2 linked regions of the Oryctolagus cuniculus genome follow. The protein of the gene in region 1 purifies or fractionates together with the protein of each later gene. This does not show direct contact. Links are inferred from orthologs where the notes say so. Each region holds a gene or a part of one and is shown on either strand. Other genes may lie near its edges.

What was found. Proteins that work in one complex are often made in the same cells at the same time.
Region 2: the proteins of DOT1L (region 1) and NPM1 purify together in Homo sapiens (affinity purification with mass spectrometry; 3 studies listed by BioGRID and IntAct, with this or other methods). This does not show direct contact. The link is inferred for Oryctolagus cuniculus from reciprocal best matches to the Homo sapiens genes DOT1L and NPM1.

Annotation. Positions count from the first base shown.
Region 1 is NC_091447.1:59,094,294-59,097,851, reverse strand, and holds part of DOT1L (histone-lysine N-methyltransferase, H3 lysine-79 specific), read right to left. Parts: intron 2,517-3,558; coding exon 2,448-2,516; intron 2,162-2,447; coding exon 2,055-2,161; intron 1,840-2,054; coding exon 1,798-1,839; intron 1,108-1,797; coding exon 997-1,107; intron 734-996; coding exon 499-733; intron 1-498. UniProt on the Homo sapiens protein: Histone methyltransferase. Methylates 'Lys-79' of histone H3. Nucleosomes are preferred as substrate compared to free histones. Binds to DNA.
Region 2 is NC_091437.1:58,113,716-58,117,824, forward strand, and holds the start of NPM1 (nucleophosmin), read left to right. Parts: upstream 1-1,282; 5' UTR 1,283-1,615; coding exon 1,616-1,673; intron 1,674-3,498; coding exon 3,499-3,578; intron 3,579-4,047; coding exon 4,048-4,109. UniProt on the Homo sapiens protein: Involved in diverse cellular processes such as ribosome biogenesis, centrosome duplication, protein chaperoning, histone assembly, cell proliferation, and regulation of tumor suppressors p53/TP53 and ARF.

The DNA.
Region 1 (3,558 bases):
GAGACAGCGGCCGTCAGCCCCGCCCCGCCCGCCGAGGCCCCGCCCCCAGCTCAGCCCCGCCCCCAGCCTGCGCCAGGAGCTCGGGCGCATGGGGCCGGGCCCACCAGGCTCCTGCAGGAGACCCTCACGGCCAGGTCCTGCCTGCTGGTGCTGCTCCGGGAGGCGCCCCGGGCTGGCGCTGGGCCGCCAGGACCTCCACGGCCACAGAGGGATGGGGCGGGGTCCAGGGACCGCACAGCGCAGCCTGGAGGCCAGCATTGTGGCCAGGTGGGTTAAGACGGCCTGGCGGCACGAGCACCCCGCGGATCTTGGCTGCTGCACCCGATGCAGCTCCCTACGCGTGTGGCCAGCGAGGCAGTGGGCAAGCGAGGCCCGCCCCCTGCATGGGAGACCGGCTGGGGCGCGGCCAGCGCAGCGTCCCGAGCGTGACCGCGCAGTGCATGGGGCTGGCTGCCTCACTCCCTGTCTGCCGGTCAGTGCAGCGGTCGCAAAGCTCACCCTGGGGCGAGGGGGGGGCGGTGGCAGGCGCGGCCGGGGCCTGCAGGGCGTCCAGCGCCGCGCGGCTCTTCCGGGGCTTGCGCTCCGCGTCCACGGCGCTCATCTTCTTGGGGCGCCCGCGCCTGCGGCCGGCCATCTTCCTGCCCTTCCTGCTCAGCTTCTTCTTCCGGGCCTTGGAGGGGGAGGCCTTCTTCACGGGGGCCGCCCCCGCCTTCTCGTCCTCGGCCCCCGAGTCCTGGCGGGCAGAGGGGGCGCTGGGGGCGGGCCGGCGGGGGGGGGGGCGCTGGGGGCGGGCCGGCGGGGGCGGGGGCGGGCCGGCAGGGGCGGGGGCGGGCGGTGGGGACGCGGGCGGGCAGGGGGCAGGGGTGGTGGGGACAGGGGGCAGGGGGCAGCAGGACAGGGAGCGGGGGGCGGGCGTAGGGTCAGGGAGCAGGGGGCAGAGGGGCGGGCAGTGGAGGCGCACGCGGGGCCAGGGGGCCGGGGCGGCGGGCGGCTTACCGCGGGGGCCTCGGCAGGCCCGGCCGCCTTGCCCTCGGGGGCCTTGGTGGGCGTTGTGGCGTTGCTCTTGCTCTCCCGCTGCTGCCGGCGCCGGGCGGCCTCCTGCTCCTCCTGCAGGGAGAGGCCTGAGGCAGGGCTGCGGGCACGGCACCCGGGAGGCCCAGGCCCGCGTGCACAGCGCCGGCCAAGGGCGGCCTCACAGGGGCTGCACAGGGGCACCGGGCCCAGGGCCGCAGCCACGGCCGCCCTGGCAGAGGAAGGCAAACCCGAGTGACTGCCTCCTGGGCTCACCAGGCAGAGCCCGCGTTCCCCATGGGTGCTGGGAAGGGCATGGCCCTGGGGGCCACAGGCCGAAGGGCCCCGCCTCACACCTGGCCCCCCTCTGCAGCAAGTGCGCTGAGGGTCTAGGGCGGACTCAGCGGGAAGAGCCGGGAAGGGGCGGGGGACCCGGGACGTCGCTGTCTGTGGGAGGGAGGGCAGACGGCCCAGTCCAGAGCCGCCCACCTCACCAGCAAGCCCAACCGTGACCCCAGCTCACACTCACTGCTGGCCACAGGCAGAACCACACAGGCCTGCTGACGAGACAGAGCCTGGACACAGACGGAGACACGCGTGGGACAGACACACAAATGCAGACACGCGTGGACACAGACACATGCAGACACACAGGTGGAGACACGCGCGGGACACAGACACGCAGGCAGACACGCAGGAGGGGTGGGAAGGGCCCGGGGTCTGCTCTGTGGCCAAGGCTGGTGAGGTACCCTCCACTCCTAAGTCGGGGGAACGCATACAACTTACCCTGAGTTTTGGGTTTTTCAAACTAGAAAAATAGTTTTCAAGCTAAAGAAAGGAAAGCAGAGAAACGCGTGTGAGAGCGGGTCGGGGCCGCACCCAGCGCTCCGCGCCGGAGCCCCCACACGGCTGCACAGGCCCGGAGGGACGCGGCACCCGAGGCCGCGGCTGGCCGGGGGGCTGGAGCGGGGCCGCGGCAGGACACGGACAGGAGCCTGGACGGTGCGGCCGCCCCACGGCAGACGGGCGGGCGGGGCACTCACTATGGTGCGGTCGATCGTGTGCAGGTAGTAGGACACGGGCTTCCCCGTCCACGACACGGAGCCCTTCAGGGGCGACAGCTCCACCACACGCATGATCGTGCCGATGTCTGTGGACAGCAAGGGCCGCCTGGGTGCTCGTCCCCGGAGCAACCCCGAGGCCCTCAGGGGACAGGCCCCGCGTGCCCGCCCAGCCTGGCCGTCTCCCGACAGCACGGGCAGCTGTGCCCCCCCCAGCCTGAGCTCAAGCAGCCCTAAGCAGCCCCCTCAGCCGCCAGGCCTCCCTCGGGGCCACGCTGCCCCAGGCTGGGCCGTGCTGGGGAGGGGGGAGAGCGGCCTGCCCGGGTGAGGGTCCAGGGCAGCCGTCTCAGGGTGGGCGCCCACACGGCCGCTCACCGCTCAAGTTCCTGCTGTTGATCCTGAAGTTCAGCGGCGCAAAGGGCTTCGAGGACACGATTCTGCCACCTGGAACAGCGGGGTCAGGGCGGGGTCAGGGCCGGAGGCAGGAGGACCCCAGACACGCCCGACGGCCCGCCCACCGCTGCTGCACTGCCTTCTCCTGAGCCCAGCCCCCGCAGACCCCGCAGGAGGGCCCGGACCAAGGGGACCCCAGGTCTCACCCCCGCCTCGCCAACCCGGGCAGCTGGTGGGCAGGGGCCGGGGACCCTCTCCGGATGGGAGCGGCAGGAGCAGCCAGCCAGCCCACACAAGCAGAGCCAGGCCGCCACGTGGCCCTGGGGCTGGCTGAGGCCCGCGGGGAGGCAGGCGGCCCTGTGATGCCAGGGAGGAGGAGCCGGCACTCCAAAGCCAACAGAGCCGGCAGCCACGGGAGCAGCGGGCGAGGGGACGCAAGGGCTGGCGCTGGGGCGCAGCGGGCGAAGCCGCCGCTGCAGGGCCGCAACCCATGGGACGCTGGTTCGAGTCCCGGCTGCTCCTCTTCCCATCCAGCTCCCTGCAGGACGGCCTAATCCTCGGCCCTGAACCCGCATCGGAGGCCCGGGAGAAGCTCCTGGCTCCTGGCTCCGCACCAGCGCAGCCTCTGGCTGTTGCAGCCATGTGGGGAGGGAACCAGCGGATGCAAGATCTCTCTCTCTCTTTGTAACTCTCCCTTCAGATAAATAAATTCAAAAAAGAGAAAGATGGGGGGGAGTGGACACTGGACCTGGGGGCCTCACACCGCTCCCCAGCGAGGACGGCCGCCGAGGTCGCCCTGGCCAGCAGGTCCACGTGGGACACAGTGCCACCTGCAGGCTGCCCCGGGTTCCCTCACGTTCACGCCCCACGGGCAGCTGCCCTGGAAGGGCCAGTCCAGGTGACCCCCGCCTCATGGTCCACAGGGAACCGTCGCCGCCCCAGCGGGCTGGAAGCAAGCCGACAGCGGCCGCCACGCGAGTGCAGCTGCAGAGGGGGAAAGCCCTGGTCCCCGGGCCCTGCTGTGCGCGCTCACCCCACACTCGCAGACACGGGGGCTCTGGCTTCACGCTGTCAGCCCCCACGCCCACGAGCA
Region 2 (4,109 bases), on another chromosome or scaffold:
AAAATGTGATCTTACTTAAACAATAAAAGAAGTATTTCTGAGTGTATGTACATATATTCCTAAGTACCCATCCTTTTACTGTGGAAGTCCATTTCTTAGGCTATATTCTATTAAACTACTTTCAGATATCCATAAAAATATAGGTACAAAGATGTTTACCTAAATAATATTTTTAGTAAAATTAGGTAGAAAATATGCCTATCAATGGAGGAACAAATAAATTATAACATACCTACATTATACTACCATAGACAAACATCTATCCAAAACATTTTTTTAAAAGTTTACTTATTTACTTGAAAGTCAGAATTACAGAGAGGGAGAGGCAGAGAGAGAGAGAGAGAGAGAGAGAGAGAGAGGTCGTCCATCCGCTGGTTCACTCCCCAAATGGCTGCAATGGTCGGTGTGGACCAGGCAAAGCCAGGAGCCAGGAGCTTCTTCCCCGTCTCCCACGTGGGTGCGGGGGCCCAAGGACTTGGGACATTAGGCCATTACCAGGGAGCTGGATGAAGTGGAGCAGCCGGGACTCAAACCTCAAACCGGCGCCACCATCACAGTACTTCCTAATTCGATGTATTGAGGTAAAAAAAAAAAAAAAAAAAAAAAAAAAAAAAAAAATTCCTTAAGAAGCCCAGCGCTCAGGGTCTGTGAGGTCTTACGTGTTTGTCAAGTAGTTTAAAATGCTAATTCCCAGGCTGCCTTCCAAAGATTCGAATTAAGGTTCCTGCATTTAAATCGAGTCAAACGTTTCCTTTCGCCGGGAATGTTAAAGGTTAGGAAGTGCACATCCCCAGAGGCTGCACCGGCGGAGGCGGCTGACTCGGTCCCCGTGTGGCCCCAAGTTGCCATAAAAATGAGGACTTTGTTGATTTTTCCTCAGAAAGGGCGGATTTATAAGAACACAGAGTCCTGTAAGTCTGGCCAATAAAGAATAAAAACCGTCGTCCACTCGTTCTCCCGCTCTGGCACCTGAGACTAGCTGTGGGGAAGCCATTAGCTCCGAGCCCAGGCTTTCGGGCAGGTCAAAATCCCGCGCTGATTATGCCATCTTGGAGGCTTGCGGGAGACGAGGGGATGGAGGAAGGAGAATGGAGCTGCTTTCTGGCTTATTCCCGACTGCCTGAGCCTCCGCATCCAGCACAGCGAAGGCCTGCTGTCGCCATCTTGCAGGGTGGGCTGCGCAGGCTCTTGGCGCGAAGCCGACGCGCTGGAACCGGAGAGGACGTGGAACCGCCGGAGGTGGGGAGCGCGCGCCGCAAGGGGAAAGCGCGCCTGCGCATCGGCGACGGCGGCAGAGGGGTGGGGCAGGGTTTCGAGTGCGCGTGCCCGGTGTGAGCCCGCGAAGTACCTGGAAGAGGTGGGGGGAGAGGTAGAGAGGAGTGTGTTGAAGAGCGCTTGCGCAGCAGCGCGACCGTACTGCGAGAAGGGGCTGAAGAGCACGCGCGCGGAGGCGGGACTTGGAAAGCTATCGCGAGATTTCTGGTGGCTATATATACTAGCGGGGAGCCCGCGTCCTTTCCCTGGCGTGATTCCGTCCTGCGCGGCTGTTCTTTGCAGCAGTGGGCGTCTAATCTCCGTCCGCTTTCTCTCCTACCCAAGTTCGTCCCTCCGCCTCATGGAAGATTCGATGGACATGGACATGAGCCCCCTGAGGCCCCAGAACTATCTTTTCGGTAACTATTGTGGGGGTTGAAGCGAGGCCGAGCAGGGCCTGGTGGTGGCTTTAAGGGTTGGGGGGAGGGGGCGGCGGGAGTCTGACTGAGGCCCGGGCTGTTGGAAAAAGGCCGGCAGACTGGAGGCCGGAGAGAATAGGGAGCAGACCGCAGGCGTCCTGGTGCTGAGCGGGGTGGGAGCTGGGAGCAGAGAGTGAGCCGTGTGAAAGGGGTGGGGAGGAGCGGCGGCCCCCGGCCTGGGGCGTGAGCGGGCCATGGCCCAAGGCCGTCTGAAGGTTCGGCGTTGCCTGGGCTGCGAAGTAGGATTCCAGGCGTGATTTTTTGTCCCGTAGTGTGTAAGTCGGCTGGCTTGTTGCTAGGCCGTGTTACAGGAGGTTGGGGGGGGTGCATGGAGGGGCGTGGAAGTCCCTGCTGGAGGAGGAGGTGGGTGCAGCCTGGCGTCCTCATCCAGAGTTCCGGGCCCGGAGACAGCTCGGGTGCCTCAGCCAGTGAACCGGGGAGGGGATGTGCGGCGGGGCTTGAGGAGGCCGCGACCGCCCGAAGCACGTGGTTGCCACGTGGTTGGGGGAAGGGAGGGGGTGTGGGCTGTACATCCGGGGCTCTGGCATCTTGTCACCCACCCACCCCCCGCCCCAGCCAGGGGTCCTGTGGCTGCTTTGAGACTGTTGGGCGGGAAGTGATAGGTGTAGTGGCGGATTGAACTAGGATTCTGGAAGTCTTTGTCCAGCGTCTGCAGCATCAACTGTACCGTAACTGGCCTTTTTAGAGTCCTCTTTCTGCCTCAGCTGGTAGACGGACCTAAACCACAATACAGGTCTGATGCTCAGAGAAGTAATTAGGTTAAGGTTGCGCTTAAAAACCAGATTTAAACAAAATCCTTGATTGCAGAGCCAGCGCTTCATAAGTGAGGCTTATTTTTTTTCCAGGAAGGGTGTAGCGGAGGTAGTCCAGCATGGATTTTGTTATGTTCACCAACGTTCTCGGGTTGTAACCAGAGATTGGGAACCACAGCGCCCCCGTCCCCCGCGAACTCACACTACTATGTATGCATAGTTTTAAGGAATTACAGTAGAACTTAATTCTGGGAACCCTTTGTTGGTTAGACATGGAAATAGATGCTAATCCTACCCCTAGTTTACAAACCATGTTGAGGTTTGTTAGCACTAGCATGCTTAAGTATCTATTGTGAATGGGAGTGAAGTGTAACCACGTAAATTTTTATTCTGGCAATAATTAAAACAGTTTCCCGATGGAGTGGGAGTAGATAATGTGCACGGTAGTGCACTTTAGGACTTAATTCTTAGCCATTTTTAGAGGTTTCTGGTGATTTTATAAACAATAATTCTTTTTTTTGGCCCTTTATATTGGAAGTGTCCTTGATTGTGTCTGTTGCCTCTATTTCTAATGTGCATCACTTTGGAATATTGACCCTTACAAGTTGATTCTTTTATGTTGGTACTTTTCTCTGTAGATGAAAGCTGTTCATCTGAGAAACCATTCTCATTGCTAATTTTCCACTATTGGGAGTTTAGATAGATAATTCCAGTTTTTTAAATGGTTGGGAATTAACTATTATATATTAGGCTTCATTATTGATATGTCTGCAGAAGTAGTAGTGCTTGTCTCAGTGTATTGAAAAATACTGTAATGAAAATGCAACTAATACAGACTTGTAAGGACCTTAAATGATTTTTAAAAATGAGTGTTGAGGAAACCAGAAAGAGACCATTCTTCCTACTCTGTGGTAGCTAAAGTAGAGGAAAACTACTTAAAAGGTTAGCTTTGTTAATTTTCTGCTTGTTAGAATTGCTTTTTTCTTTTACAGGTTGTGAACTAAAGGCTGACAAAGATTATCACTTTAAAGTGGACAATGATGAAAATGAGCACCAGTTATCTTTAAGAACGGTACTTAAGCTTTTAAAATAAACATTTCTTGATTTCAGCAATTTAATTGTCCCCTATTTCTCTGCTTATAAGAGTTTTTATGATTGGATATTGTATATACCTCATCAATAAACTTGATTAAAAAGCTGGGCATGTTCACTGCTACCTGGTAATCTGGTAAAGTCAAGTCACCGTTTTATTATCTTGCTTCATTTGAATCATGAAAGATCTCTAGGGTGTCTGCCAGACGAACCTACTCAGCTTTGTAGTGGGTGTTTAATAGGTGTTCTGTATAATATGTGTGCATTTTTAAGTATTTCTTCAAGTTTACTGAACATGAGAAATTGGTTTGCCAATCTTACTAAACTTGAAGGTAGTGTTGGCACAAGTTGGAAATAATGATAAAAGTCATATTTGGTATTTTTAAACACAGATTTCCGAGGCAGGATTGTAAAACAGTTGGAAATTAAAGTTTACAAACTGTTCACAGGTCAGTTTAGGCGCTGGTGCCAAGGATGAACTGCACATTGTTGAAGCAGAGGCAATGAATTA